Cricetulus griseus: one gene and its partner. The protein of the gene in region 1 purifies or fractionates together with the protein of each later gene. This does not show direct contact. Links are inferred from orthologs where the notes say so. Each region holds a gene or a part of one and is shown in the gene's direction. Other genes may lie near its edges.

Evidence for each region. The genes of interacting proteins can lie anywhere in the genome.
Region 2: the proteins of Dusp9 (region 1) and Mapk11 purify together in Homo sapiens (affinity purification with mass spectrometry; 4 studies listed by BioGRID and IntAct, with this or other methods). This does not show direct contact. The link is inferred for Cricetulus griseus from reciprocal best matches to the Homo sapiens genes DUSP9 and MAPK11.

Annotation. Positions count from the first base shown.
Region 1 is NC_048604.1:2,100,042-2,107,525, reverse strand, and holds Dusp9 (dual specificity protein phosphatase 9), read left to right. Parts: upstream 1-3,084; coding exon 3,085-3,457; intron 3,458-3,994; coding exon 3,995-4,450; intron 4,451-4,761; coding exon 4,762-5,087; downstream 5,088-7,484. UniProt on the Homo sapiens protein: Inactivates MAP kinases. Has a specificity for the ERK family.
Region 2 is NC_048595.1:385,899,732-385,907,469, reverse strand, and holds the start of Mapk11 (mitogen-activated protein kinase 11), read left to right. Parts: upstream 1-3,421; coding exon 3,422-3,537; intron 3,538-6,127; coding exon 6,128-6,257; intron 6,258-6,431; coding exon 6,432-6,490; intron 6,491-6,582; coding exon 6,583-6,694; intron 6,695-6,787; coding exon 6,788-6,817; intron 6,818-6,902; coding exon 6,903-6,950; intron 6,951-7,040; coding exon 7,041-7,155; intron 7,156-7,507; coding exon 7,508-7,579; intron 7,580-7,735; coding exon 7,736-7,738. UniProt on the Homo sapiens protein: Serine/threonine kinase which acts as an essential component of the MAP kinase signal transduction pathway.

The DNA of each region.
Region 1 (7,484 bases):
GAACGTTGAGAAAGAAAGAAATGAGCCATGCCACAGCACTGCTTCTTTGAGGCCCCTGGGAGATAGAGAAGGAAGTCTGCAGGCTTGCCCATGAGACCAACAGGGTATAGGGGCTGGGACATGTGCAGCCAGAAGGGTTGGACTGTATCCACAGAGCCCCATTTGCCCAGAACCGTTGAATATCAACATCCCAGAAACAGGGACAGGTGAGGTAGGGGCTCAGTAGTCTGAGCTCACTGGTGGTTCACTACAGTGGTGGAGAAAGGGGGAAAACTGGAGGGCCCTCTGAGGTAGCTTTAGTCTGTATGGGTGGCTTCTTCCCTAGCATCACTTCACAAGCATCTCACCTTAATTCTGGCCCAGGTGAGGACTCTTTTCAATAGGCATAGATGGTCTGCAGTGGTGCTAAATGTTGCTCTTTCAGGGGAGTTAGCATTTTTCACTCCTGAGAAAAATGCTTTGCAGTACTCACTCTGTGTGCACCAGTCTGCATTCTTGTCTGTGGTTTCTTAAGCAGGAGCCCCAGAAGTAACTCATAAGTATGGGGTTTTCTTGTCTGATTCTTTTGTTGTTGTTGTTGTTTAGGGTTTTCATTCTTTTGTTTTGTTTTGTTTTGTTTTGAAAGGGAGTTTGAGACAGGGTTTCTCTGTGAAGTCCTGGCTCTCCTGTGTCCCCTGACTGGTGGGATTAGAGGTGTGCACCACTACCCCTGTCCATCTTTATTATGTGGTTCTTTTTTTCTGGTTTTTCTAGATAGGGTTTCTCTGTGTAACAACCCTGGGCATCCTGAAACTTGCTCTGTAGACAAGCCTGGCCTCAAACTCACAGAGATCAGCCTGCCGCTGCCTCCCAAGTGCTGGGATTAAAGGTGTGTGCTCCCAATCCTACTCTTGTCCAGTTCCTGTTGTATATTGTTACACTCATTTCCAAAAGGGTACTACCAAAACAAAATCCCCCCCCCCTCGGGATGAGAACAGCACACTTGTTTCACAGCAACCATGCTAACACTAGGTGTTTTCATTTTGAGAACATTCTACTAATGTAGTAACTGGGAAGCACTTCTTTGTTTTTGAATTGGCTTTCCTTCCATGCCTGAGCTTCAACCTTTCCCCAAATATTCTTACCCCATCACATTCCTTCCTTCAGGCAGAGTATGCAGTCCTTGAGTTCCTTACCCATTTATCTACAGGGTCTTAACCCTTTGTATTTTGTGCGAGCTTTATCTTATCTGTTGTGTGTTTTCCTTTAACACTGTTATTTGCTTTTCTTGGGCTTTTAGCAGAGAAAGAACACATGGCCAGATGGGGCTTTTTTAGGAGTCTCCCCCTACCTCTCCTTTCATTGTCATCACTTATCACCCCGATATCTCATTCAGCGTCTTTGCTTATTGTTAGTGTGTCCTGCCAGACTGGAAGACCCAGGCAAGGAGAGCCCCTGTGCGTCTTTTCTGCTCATCACCTGTCTGGAGGGCTGGTTGGAGGCCTTCAGTTTTTGTGGGCTGAATGGTGCTCTAGCATGGGGCAGGGTGGAGAACAAGCTGAAGTTTTAGAAACTAGGACTGTGACTTCTGTAGCCATGGCCAGTGCAAAAGATGGCGGGAGCATGAGGATGGTGACATATTACAGTGAAACGACTTCCCTCCATGTGGATCAAAGGTCACAAGGAGGAGCGAGGGATGGCTTTTAGGATTCACCATGTGATAAGAGCACAGTGCCCGAGTTTAATAGAGTTGGGTGCTCAGAATTCCTGGGTACCTGTAGCCAGGCCTGTACAAATGAAGCCCAGATGAGAATAAGGAACACAGGAGCTGCCTTGTGCCTTCAGTATTTCGGTGGCATTTCACAGCCAAATTGGATGGCTCTGGATAGCCCATTATACAGATGGGGGCCATCTAGTTCCAGACAAAGGCTAATAGTTAAGGGTTATTAAGTGAGTTGTTTGAGGCAGTTTCTGGTTCTGGGGTGCTGGGCTTTTGTCCCCACCCCTCTTCCTGATTCCAGGGACCAGACTGGCGCCGAGCAGGGGCAACTGCCACTGGTCCCCTGCTGGGCCCCCGACCTGCCCTTGGCCTCTGCCCCGACCCAGTCCCGCCTGGGTGGAAGCCCTAGCTCAGCTTGCTGCTTGCAACTCCCACCCGGCTGTTCGTTCTCACTGGTTGGCTGGCCTGGCCTGTATGCCCGCCCCGCCACCCCACCGCCCCCCCCCCCCTCCGAGCAGCTACTAAGTCGGTCCGAAGGCTGCGCGGCTCCCAAGGTGGAAGCTGGATCCGGCTGCCAGGAAGCGGCCAGCGCACGAGTGGCGCGAGGCTTGGCTTCCACGTGCGAGCCTGATCCGCCACCCCGCCCTCTCCGAGCGCCCAAACCTGGGGACTCCCTCTCCAGGGACGATACCTGCGCCCTGCCCTGGCACTAGCTGTGGCCAGGACGTCCACGCGCGGCCGCCTGCCTCTGGATCTGGCTCCAGGTCTCTCCTTTTGTTCTCTCCTGGGGTGGGGAGGAGTGGGGCCGAGTCAGCTCTTACAGGACTCGCCTAGGCCCATCACCTCGGTGACCCTCTTGTTTTCTGGTTCTTCCTGGCCTTGGAGAAGATTCAGGCCTTGAACCCAATTTCTCCACACACCCCAAGTCGAACTTGGGGAGTGATGGAGATCGGGGCGAGTGAGAAAGTCAGAAAACGGGTGTGGAGGGAACTGGATTTAGTCCTCCTAGAATCCCCCCCCCCCCAAAAAAAGAAAGTCTTCATTCAAGAGGCCGCTAGACTTTCTCCTTCTGGGGTATGTCTTACACAAACTCCATCTAAGCGGGACAGGGAGCAACACCCCAGTGGCGGCGGCCTCGGGTGTTTTTCCTGGGGCGCCTTCCTTGGTTTTCTCACTGTGGGTGGAGCGCAAGGAGAGAAGCAGGCGGTGGAGGAATGTCCCTGCAGGGACACTGGGCGCCTGCCCTCAGGACAGGGCCTGACTTCCCGTCTCAGTAGCCTGGTCCACACTGCGAGAGTAGAGACAAACCTTCCCTCACTCTGCGCCTTAGGTCTCTCCACAGCACACACTGCCCGACGGACAGAAGTGCAGAACGCTGCGCACCCATGGAGAGTCTGGGTCGTTCGTGCCTGTGGCTGCGGCAGGAGCTGTCGCCCCCGCGCCCACAGCTTCTACTGCTCGACTGCCGGAGCCGGGAGCTGTACGAGTCAGCGCGCATCTGCGGGGCGCTGAGCGTGGTCCTGCCTGCCCTGATGCTGCGCCGCCTGCGGAGAGGGAGCCTGTCCGTACGCTCACTCTTGCCTGGGCCACCGCTGCAGCCTCCCCCACCCGCCCCTGTGCTCCTATACGACCAGGGTAGTGGCCGATCCAGGCATGGAGAAGCAGAGGCCGAAGCCCCAGAGTGGGAAGCTGACTCGGTGCTGGGCATTCTGCTCCAGAAGCTGCGGGAAGAAGGCTACCTGTCCTACTACCTACAGGGTACGTGAGGTGCAGTGGGCTGAGAGAGGGCACAGGGAACCTGTGATGGCCTCAGGTCAGGAGACGGTCCTGCCTTCCAAGGGGGATTTCATAATTATTTTATCCTTGGGCAAACCCCATCGCATTTTGTCTAAAATGTAGGTTAATATAATACTTGCTCCCAGTAACCTACCAGACAGCTTTTGGGAAGGCAGACCTAAGTGTGACCTTGGGCAAATCCTTCATCCGTCCAAGCCCATTTATAAATCTGGAAAATAGGGAGAATTGACCTGAAACAACATAGTTCACAGGATGTTCCCTAGAGCAAGCGGCTGCACCATACAGAGAGACAGCCACAAGTGCTAAGTGAGAGATGGCTGTCCATAGTATGCACCACACGTGGCTCTCCAGTAAAGATTAAACTGCTGGTTTGTGTGTTCCCTTCGGCAATATCTGCAACCCACCTAGGTTGTTAGGGTCACCTCCCTAGCCTCAGCTAGGGATTCCTGGCTGCCCAGCTGGCTATAATAGCAAGAGCACCTCTTTCTTTCCTGACAGGTGGTTTCAGCAAATTCCAGGCCGAGTGTCCTCACCTTTGTGAAACCAGCTTCAGTGGTTGTGCTGGATCAAGCCTGGCCGCATTGCCTAGCCCAGTGCCTGTGGTGGGGCTAGGTGGCCTGTGCTTGGGCTCTGATACCTCTGATGCAGAGTCTGAGGCCGACCGTGACTCCATGAGCTGTGGCCTAGATTCGGAGAGTACCACATCCCCTCCAGCTGGGCTGCTACCACCGTTCCCAGTCCAGATCCTGCCCAATCTCTACCTAGGCAGTGCCCGAGATTCAGCCAACTTAGAGAGCCTAGCCAAGCTTGGCATCCGCTATATTCTCAATGTCACCCCCAACCTACCTAACCTCTTTGAGAAGAATGGTGACTTCCACTACAAGCAAATCCCCATCTCTGACCACTGGAGCCAGAATCTGTCCCAGTTCTTTCCAGAGGCCATTGCATTCATTGGTGAGTTCTCCCTATCCTCCCTGTCTTCTCTTTCCACCTGTCCCCACCTACTAGACTGACTCCTGGTCTGTCCTGCTCCTTACCCTCTCCTGTAAAGGAGTTTTTGCCTAGTTTAGCTACCCTCACCCAGAGCAGACAAGGCACTTGGGGAAGTGGGAGTAGAGCTCAGGTCAGCTGCCAGTAAAACCTCCCAGATAAGGGCTAGGTGGGGTGGAGAGACTGTGATGATATCCCCCAAAATTCACTGGGCTTTGGCCTCATTCATGCTGATCCTTGCCTTGTGGGGGGATGTTTCTGTCTGCTCTACCTAGATGAGGCCTTGTCCCAGAACTGTGGGGTGCTCGTCCACTGCCTGGCAGGAGTCAGCCGCTCTGTCACTGTCACCGTGGCCTACCTCATGCAGAAGCTCCACCTCTCACTCAATGATGCCTACGACTTGGTCAAGCGGAAGAAGTCTAACATCTCGCCCAACTTCAACTTCATGGGCCAGCTGCTAGACTTTGAGCGAAGCCTGCGCCTGGAGGAGAGGCGCTCTGGGGGACAGGGCAGTGGGGGACCAGAGTCCACTGTCTCAGACCCACCTTCTTTCTTTACTACCCCTACCAGCGATGGGGTCTTTGAGCTGGACCCCACATAAAGCCATGTGGAGTTGCTGGGCTGGTCCCTACCTATGACCCATGTATTAGCAGGGATGGGATGCAGCCATAATGGGGGGGGGAGCTCAATACCTCAAGCGGGGGTGGTGCAGCAAAGCAGGAACACAGCAGAGACCTGCCCTACCCCAGTTCTATTACACGTGCCTATGGGTGGGTCCATGGATACAGACCTGACTCGCACCACTTTAGGGCAGGACCATGCTCCAGGACCATGCCTCTTCTGTGACTGTTACTTTATTCTTTCGGGGTGGGAGTGGGGCTTCCTATCCAAGAGACCATTCCAGACTGCTGCCTGGTGCCTGGGCTCTGTCCCTTGCCATTTCCTCTTCAGGAAGATTATATCACACTTTGCCACAGGGACTTGCTCTTAGTTCCTTCCCTGTCCCCAAATGGCCACTTGTGGGAAAAGGTCTCACAGCTTTCACTGGTGTAGTCTCCTTCCTGCCTCTCTGGCTAGCGCTTAGACCTCTTGTGGCTCTGGGATATGGACCCAGAGATGCCATTGCTGCTCTCAGTATCCACAGGGGCAGCCTTTTTTGCTGGGCAGTGTCACATGGGAGGGCATGGGCCTGGGAGCCAATCAGTGGGATCCCAGCCACACATCTGGTGCCCTGACTGTTTCTTTCCTCCTCCCACAGATGTCTTGACAGGATCACTGAGACTCTTTGTGACTGAGGGTGGTCAAACTGCCACCGGAGGAGATGGGGGTCTCTGAGTGAGAGCTGAGGGGGAGGGAGAGAAGGATGAAGGCCTCAATTTTGCTGCTGTGTGTCTCACACAGCCGGTATTGGTTTGGGGGGCAGGGAAGGGGCCAAGCTGCAGACACACACACATGGTCATTCATTGCAGTCCACACCCCTTTGTAAACAGTGTGTATGTATGTGTGTGTGAGTGTTCACACATGCATACTAGCCTACTCACACATTCAGCCTGGGGCTGGCAGTACCTGTGGCAGGAGAACCATCTTGTCTTTGAACCTGGAGAGGGTTGTGCTTATTTGTTTTTGTAATCCACTTCATAATCGCTTTTCTTTAATTGTTCCTCCTAAATAAATGGTTTATTTAAGATACTGAACAGAGAGTGCTGCCTCCTGGGCTCTTTGGGGAAGGGAGGGAGAGGAAAGGGAAACCTGCCCTTCATCCATTCATCATTTCTCATCTATGTACATTGCCTATTTGGCTACCTGGCACACACTGTAGGGACTGGGATAAAACAATAAGCCAAACATGATGAACCTGCATGTTTGGAGCTGCGTTTCCAGAAGGGGATGAGATACCCCAAATCAGTCATGAAGTTGCAACTGACCCCGAAACCCTGAGTAAAAGTAGGCTGTCTATTATCTTCAATAGGGAAAAGCCATGGGCTGGGTGTATCATACTGTGTGGAATCAAGGTTGCAAAAGCCTAGGCAAGGTCGGGGAGAGCCATGGGACAGGTGTGCACTTGGGCCATCTGCAATGTTAGGTAGAGCCTACATCACTGGGTCATCTAAGTTTTAGGTAGGACTCTTCTGTTCAACACTGCCAGTGCCTTCTCTACACTGCAGCTGGCAGAACTGGGAATCTGTTTCCAAAGCTTACAGATAGAGCAGAAAGGAAGAGCATCAGAGTATGTACAGGGGAGAAAGTAATGGAGGGTAATGTTTTAGTCAGGTTTCTAGTCAGCACAGGAATACCTGAGGCAATATGCTTGCAGAGAGAGAAGATTGATTTTTCGCTTACATTTCAGAGTTACAGGCCATGGCTGGTTAGGCAGCACCCAATGGTGGAAGTATACAGTGAAACATGATTGGACCCTTCATGACCAAGAGGGAAAAGGGTGGAAAAGGAAGGGACTGGGGCCCCCCAAGACCCTTCAAGAGCCTATCTCTAACTAAAGATATATCCCCTCTCCCAGTAGCAGTGCCTGAGGGCCTATGCCCTTAAAGGTGGACTTTTGAGAAACATTCAACATCCCAACTGCAGCAATGGACTTAGAAACAAGATGTTTAGGTAGCACTCCCAGTCCAAAAGCCCTGAAATGTGGATGAAATTTAAAGCCCTGTGACCAGCCAAATGTTGGTGGCACACGCCTTTGATCCCAGCACTCAGGAGGTAGAGGCAGGCAGACAGATCTCTGTGAGTTTGAGGCCAGCCTAGTCTACAAAGCTACACAAACAAACCCTGTCTCGAAAAAAAAACCCTGTGACAAAATGGCTGAGCTAGTGAGAAAATGAGAGAAAAACTCTGAGGGAAAAAACAAAAACCAATGACGACCTTCCAGTCCAAAAGTGCCTGGGGCATAGCCTAGGACTAGGAGCCAGAAGCCTCCACAGGAATGCAGCCATTCCATACCTGATGGTATTTAAAACTGTGATAACACCCTTTCTTTCTGGCAGGG
Region 2 (7,738 bases), on another chromosome or scaffold:
CCCTGCTCTAGAATAAAACCCGGGCCTCTGTAATGGAGTGCTTAGGGATAGGAGGGGCATGAGACCAGCTTTGAGTTGTAGCAGCATCACCAACAAACCCAGGGATGACCCATCTTTGTATATGTCTTCATTTTCTTTCCATTGTACTAGAGACAGAGGCGGAGGATGAGAAAGGACTGTGGTAGGCAACCTTTAGTGCTGCCCCTAAATCAGTGCCTTCCAGATTTATCTTTTACAAAATGCATTCTGACCCACTGTCGGAATCTGGGATCTGAGTGGACAAGCTAACCACTGGGGAACTATCACAGCTGTCTAATTGAAAAAGGGGACTTGAGCATAGGCAGCAACAGAAGATGGGATTGAATTTAGGGGTGGCACTAAATCATAGAGGAGGATAGAGACAGGGTCCTGGACTTTTTCTGTTGCAGCCCCCTCATCACCCTCCGGTACCCCCACACATCTATCTACCTGCTATTGTAATGCTACCTTGTAGTTGCTATCCTCACTACCAGCTTAAACTCAGATGGCCACTCCCTATAGTGTTTGATCCCACACAATCCTCAGAAGGCACCTGGTACCTGTGGGTGGGCATGCCAGGTGGAGAGGGTGTTCAGAGCAGTTTACTGAGGATGAGAGAATCACAACTGTATGAGAGCTAAACCTGGCTAGACCTAACTCCTGGCTAACAGTAGTCCACTCTGACCCTTTCCAGGGTCAGACTTAGCAGGGAAGCAGTTAGGAAAATTGATCTGAGACTCTCCTGGGTAGGTGGCTACTAGCTTCCCAAGTCTTCATCCTGCCCCCTTCCCCACTTCTCCAGTTGAGCCAAACTGGGCATCCTTGGGAATGTGGAGGAAACAAGGAAGGTTACCCTGGTAACTGCCTGGCCCTGCCCTGCGGCAGTACAGACAAAGGCCACTACCCTCCCCCCTGGCTACTGTGCAGTCAAGGTTCCCAACCCCCCACCATCACCCTGGCTCAGTTCCCCCCTCCTCTGCCTTTAGCTGAAGCTCCATTAACTTTGCACAAAACCTCAACCCACCCCTGGGAAAGGTGCTTTCTGAGCTTTTATTGTCCTGAGCAGTGGGGGCTGGGGCCACCCTCAGGTTCTCTGGCTAGGCTCCAGGATTGAGAATGGCTCCCAGAGGGGAATTGATGCCAAGGATGGCCTAGGGCTTGGGCAAAGTCTTGCGAGAGGGGCTAGAGACTGAGGCTTGGAGCTATTTTCTTGGTCACTTGGTGTGCCTCACTAATTCATGGTATTTGTTTTGCTTTTTTTTTTTTTTTTTTTTTTTTTTTTTGAGACAGGGTTTCTCTATGTAGCTTTGGAGCCTGTCCTGGAACTTGCTCTGCTGTAGACCAGGGTGGATACTTCTATTAGCCTGGTACTTCATTGGCTTGTTTTAGTTTAGTTGGCAATTTTTGTTTTGCTTTGTTTCTTCACAGGGTTTCTCTGTGTAGTCCTGGCTGTCCTGAAACTCACTCTGTAGATCAGGCTGGCCTCCAACTCACAGAGGTCTACTTGCCTCTGCTTCCCGAGTGCTGGGATTAAAGGCGTGCACCACAACTGCCCAGCTTGGTTAATTTTTAATTTATATTTTACATTATATTGGTATTATTTTTATTTATTTTAGTTTTTCAAGACAGGGTTTCTCTGTGTTGCTCTAGCTATCCTGGAACTGGCTTTGTAGATCAGGGTAGCCTTGAACTCACAGAGATCCACCTGCCTCTCTCCCCCCAGTGTTGGGGTTAAAAATGTATGCCACCATACTTGGCTTTTCTTTTTCTTTTTGCCTTGAGACAGGGTCTCACTTTGAAGCTCAGGTGGCTTTGAATTCTCTATGTAGCTCAGAAAGGCCTTAAACTTGTTATGGTCCTCCAGATCAGCTTCCTGAGCATTTGAATTAGAGATGGAAGCCTCCACATTAAGTCCATGTTCACTTTCTTTATTGGGGACAAGGCTGGTTGTGTGTGTGTGTGTGAGAGTGAGAGAGAGAGAGAGAGAGAGAGAGAGAGAGAGGAGAGAGAGAAAGAGAGAGAGAGAGGGAAGAGGGGGGAGGTCTCTCATATATAGTGCTCACTGTTCTGGAACTCACAATGTTGACCAATCTGGCTTTAAACTCACAGAGATCCATCTGCCTTTGCCTCCTGAGTACTAGGATTAAAGGTGTGTACCATGACACCTGGCTCCATGTTCACCTTTAAGTGTGAATAAAAGTAGGGTCTAGAGCAGTGTTTCTCAACCTTCCTAACCCTTTCATAGAGTTTCTCATGTTACGGTGGCCCCCACCCATAAAATTATTTTCATTACTACTCCATAACTGTAATCTTGCTGTTAGGAATCTGTGTTTTCTGATGGTCTTGGGAGACCCCTAAGGGTTTGAGACCCACATGTTGAGAACTGCTGTCCTAGAGTGACACATACTAGTGAGGCCTTACTGCACATGGGAGTATCCACCTTGGACACCAGGAAAAGGGAGTTTTCTAGACTTGGTGACAAACTGAACTTCGCCTGCCTGGGTGGTAGACCTGCTGGGCCGCCTTGTGCTAGTGGCCTGAGAAAGTCAGGGCTGGGTGCGTTTCACAGGCGTCAGTGAGGTGAGTGCTTCATAAGAAGGAAAATTACCCAATATCAAAAAGAATCCATTTGGGGACCAAACCCTGTGGCCTCAACCATGGTGCTGCTGCTGTCCCTGGTCCTGACTGGCCGTCGGGCGCTCACCTCTTCCAGGAACTTCTAGACCCAGGTTGGGGCAAGATGTGGGGTAGATATCGTCTCCTGAAGGCTCTGTCACCAAGGTAAAGTCTGTCAGGAGGTGAACCACTAATGCCCAACGGAGGCGTCTTTCTCGCCCAGACCACAACGCGCCTCCCAGAGTGGGGCCCTGGGTTAGCGCCATGGCGCTGGTTTTTAATCTAGAGCCTTTAATTTTTAACGTGGCTAGGTTTTTTTTTGTTCTGAATGTATTCTCACCATGTGCTCTAGCTCTCTTTTGACAATTTTCCCTCATTTTTGAGGAAGGAGCCTGGACTGGGACCTGGGGAAGGGCAGGGGGAGCGCGTGGCATGCAGAAGGTGAATGTAGGAAACAAGCCAGAGGTCCGCTCGTCATCCCCACGGGAGGGAAGACGGCTTTCTCCTTTGTCGCCGTCATCCAGGGGCAGGAAGCCGCGCGTCTGTCTCCGGGAAATCTCCTGCACCCCCTTGTACTCCCCACCCCTCCCTCCGCTTCCCGCCCCCGGTCGCCAGGCTGGGGAAATCCGCCGGGCCTCGGCCCCGCCCCGCCGCCCCGCCCTGCTGCGCCGCAGCCCCCCAACCCCCACCCCGCTTTGCTCAGCGGTGCTCACGCCTGCTGGGCGTGGGGCGCGGGCCGGGTGCTGCGCGGGACTCCGGGGCGCTCGCTCCAGCTGCCGCTGCGGATATGTCGGGTCCGCGCACAGGATTCTACCGGCAGGAGCTGAACAAAACAGTATGGGAGGTGCCGCAGCGGCTGCAGGGCCTACGCCCGGTGGGGTCCGGCGCCTACGGCTCGGTCTGGTAGGGGCCAGCAAGGATCTGGTGGGAGCTGGGCGGGAAAGTGTGCGCGACCCTCCAGCGCGACGTGGGGTTCCCGGCGTGGGGAGGGGCCTCGCCCTGCCTCCGCCCCCGGCCGGCACGCTTCTTAAGAATGAATGGGGGGGGAGGGGACACGGAGGAAACTTTCCTACTGGATTCCACTGGTTGGAAGGGAGGGGCTCCTCTAACGTACCCCCATCTTCGATCCCTTGTTTCTCCCAGTAAGGCGGAATCCCGCGGCGTCACAGCTGGCTGGCGGGAGAGCAAGACTCTGGGGTCGCTAAATGGAACTGCCATCCTGGTTATTTGGGGCAGAGTCTAAGTAGCTTGCAGGGTCTAACCTGCCCCCAGACTTGCGTGTTTGAAAAGGGGGCCCCCAGCGCCGTGAGGAGACCTCTCCTCTTCGGAAGGCATCAAGCTCTGCCATGGATCCTACCCCCTCTTCCAGTATCCTAGGAGTCTCAGACAACGGCTTGAGCAAAATCAGACACCTATCTTGTCTACACCCTACCCCAGTTTATCCAACAAAGGATCTCAGAATACAGCTCCACACCTAGGGCTCGGGGATCGGGGTAGAGTGCCTGGTGGTTGAAACCAGCTAACTCCCAGGCACTCGGAACTAGAGAATGGGTGCAGATAGTCCATGTTGATAGGCTGGTCAAGGGCTAACACCCCAGCCCTGGGGATGGGGGTTGAGACTCAAATCTTGGATCTTGTAATGACATCTGTCTGTCATCAGAAGCCTGTGTCAAATCCCTCACAGCAGGGCTCTGATGAAATCGTATAGACTCAACCCAGAGGAAACCAGTCCTGCTTTTACAGGGCCCAGAGTGAGCTTGGTCACGGGATTGTGCCCCATGCCTTAGCCTATAATCACAGCACTCTGAGATGGATAAGCTTGTTCTCCTGATGATATTTGCTCCTTATCTCCTTCTTGCTTCTCTTTCTCTTAGGGTGTACTCCCGTCCACATTGAGTAGAGACAGGATACCCCCCCAATACCCAAGGAACAGGAGACAGGAAAAAAGACAGGCTGTGTCTGGGATGCTCACAGCAAGTAGAGGGGGATGAGGTTACACAAAATCCCATTAAAAAAAAAACAAACAAACAAACAATACTTTAGAGGAAGGGAGGAAAGGGGCAGGGAACAGACAGGGTGGAGAGAAATGTGGGGCATATGCCTTGCAGGGGGCTTGGACATTGACTAAGATGAAATTGTTCAGGGTTGAACATCTAGGAGTTGCTGGGAGATAGCCAACTTTCCCAAGTGAGGCCGAGGTCAGTCTCCACTGATCTGTGACCCTGGGCTTGTTCAATTGCACTCCTGAGGTTGGTGCTAGGATGCCAACTCCTTGTAACTTGATTGTTGAGATGCAGTGGAGCAACAGGGCCTGCTGATTTAGTGGCCACTCCCTTCATGCCTCTCTGCAGGAGCTGTTTAGACACTCTGCTTATCACGGGGAACTGGCTTCTCTGCCTTACTTTCTAGTCCCATGAACATCCTTGCCTTCCCTGGCCCAGTGGGGATGGGTGGTACCCTGTCTCCACTAACTGTAGGGAAGGGTGCACCCCTGAGATGAGGAGACTCAATAGGGAGAGACTGTGGCTAGCTGGACTCCTTCAGTGGATTCATAACTGCCCCAGTCTTGACAGCAGTGGGACCAGAACTTGGGGAAAAGCCCTATGACCACAGCTCATGATCATGATGGGCTAGGTCCCACCAATAGAGGGCATGTCCACATGCCTTTAGTCCCAGCACTCAGGAGGTAGAGGCCAACGGATCTCTGTGAGTTCGAGGCCAGCCTTGTCTATAGAGAGTGCCAGAACAGCCAGGGCTATACAGAGATACCTTGTCTCCAAAAACCAAAACCAAACAAACAAAAAGGGTACAGAGGTGGAGGGTCCTCCAGTCTCTGGGGGGTGGTAGTGGGCCAGAGAGCCCCCCCAACCCACAGGGGATGAGCATATCCTACCACCCAGTTACTCAGTTATAAATTGTGTGGGGTTTTTTGTTTTTGTTTTGAAAGTGTTTCACCATCTAGTCTTGACCTCATCTCAGTTCTCTTGCTTCAGTCTCCCAAGAGCTGGGATTACAGGCATGAACCACCATGTCCAGCTTCAATTATAAATTAGGATGCAATAAACACCTCTTCCTTCCTCAATCTGATGTGCGGAGGCGTGGGGGTGTGGTTCCCATGGCTTTCTAGGCAAGCCTCCCTTGTTCACTGGGTCCGTGAGGAAGGAGGAGGCCTGCTTGCTGAGGGAGTGTTTGTGGGCATAGTGTGTTGTCCATGCAACAGCCTCCTTGTGAGTGGAGGCTTAGGTTTCTCAAGAAGAAAAGATTAAAAACAAAACAACAACAAAAAAAACCTCTACCAGAGAACGATCAGTCTACTCAAGGGGGTCACCTAAGGGAGGTCCAAGAGGGGCGGCGTGAAGACAGCGCGGAGCGAGCAGGCAGGGACAGGCCTCCTAGGTCCAGGAGCCAGCAGCGGAGGCTTGCTCCTGTACTCCGGTGCAGGGTGGACTCTGGGCCAGGCGCTCGCTCATCGCCTCACTCGCCCACCTTGCAGCTCAGCCTACGACGCGCGTCTGCGCCAGAAGGTGGCTGTGAAGAAGCTGTCTCGCCCTTTCCAATCGCTGATCCATGCAAGGAGGACCTACCGGGAGCTGCGCCTACTCAAACACCTGAAGCACGAGAACGTGAGAGAGCGGGCCAGTGTTGTAGGGATTGAACAACCGACACCGCCCGGTGGGGGCGGGAGCGAAGTGGGTGGGGTGGGGCCTTTGGAGGGTACGCCTCCACATAGGCGGGGCCCAGACCAGTGGGGCGTTGCCTACAGCTGTGCTGTGGTCCTTCCTCGGTTCCCTGCCCAGATCATAGGGCTTCTGGACGTCTTCACGCCGGCCACATCCATCGAGGATTTCAGCGAAGTGTGAGCGGCCCGGGCATGCGTGGTGATGGCCTTGGGAGCTTAGTCGGGGAGGGTGTAGTGAGACACTCTCTTAACTCCTGATCCTGGCGCAGGTACCTGGTGACCACCCTGATGGGCGCTGACCTGAATAACATCGTCAAGTGTCAGGCACTGAGCGATGAGCATGTTCAGTTCCTTGTCTACCAGCTGCTACGTGGGCTGAAGGTGGGGCGCATGGGCTCTGGGGTTGCCTCGACAGCGCTGGGTTGGGCAGAAAGGGATGGAGCCTGAACTCACCCGGTGTGCCCTCCCCTGCAGTATATCCACTCGGCAGGCATCATCCACCGGGTAGGTGCAGCTGTGGGCGAGGGTGAGGGTCAGTCACTCTGCCTAGGCTCATGGCTGCCTCACTCACACCCGGTCCACCCTGCAGGACCTGAAGCCCAGCAATGTAGCGGTGAATGAAGACTGCGAGCTTAGGGTAAGGATGTTGGTGGGGGTGTGTGAGCAGCGGGGATGCACAGAGAAGTAGGTTGCACAAAGAAGTTGCATAACACTTATGGTACTCCAGATCCTGGACTTTGGGCTAGCGCGCCAAGCTGATGAGGAGATGACTGGATATGTGGCCACACGTTGGTACCGGGCGCCAGAGATCATGCTGAACTGGATGCACTACAACCAGACAGGTACCATAGACCCTCAACAGTGGTCTTGTACTGTAAGGGTGGGCAGGCAGTGCTCACAACAAGGTTTAGGGAAGGTGACAAATCGGTGGGGGTAGAAAGAAGGACTAAAAGGGAGAAGAGCATGCCTGGAGCTCTGAGTGAGGGGCAAGGGCTTGGTGGGACTAGCTTTTAGAAAGGCTTCTAGCTTGGCCGGTATCCTCAGACCTCTTCTCAGGGTAGGGTATAGAGTAAGGGCTCTACTGGTCTCGTAGGTCCTGGATATGACCGAGGGTCACTGGGCAGGCTTCCTCCAGCACCACAGGAAGGATTTGGACTGGCAGGCTGAAAGTGTCTCCTTATTCTCCCCCAACAGTGGACATCTGGTCTGTGGGCTGCATCATGGCTGAGCTGATTCAAGGAAAGGCCCTCTTTCCTGGAAACGACTGTATCCTTGGAGAGCAGGGTCAAGCTGGGGTCCCAGTCTACAGGGTAGGGGTGGTTTCTGGACCTTTTTAAAAGTCTTACTTCTTATGCCATGTCAGGTGGGGCTCCCTGTCCTGAACCACCCAGGTCCACATCAAGTGTTTCCTAAGCTAGATAGACA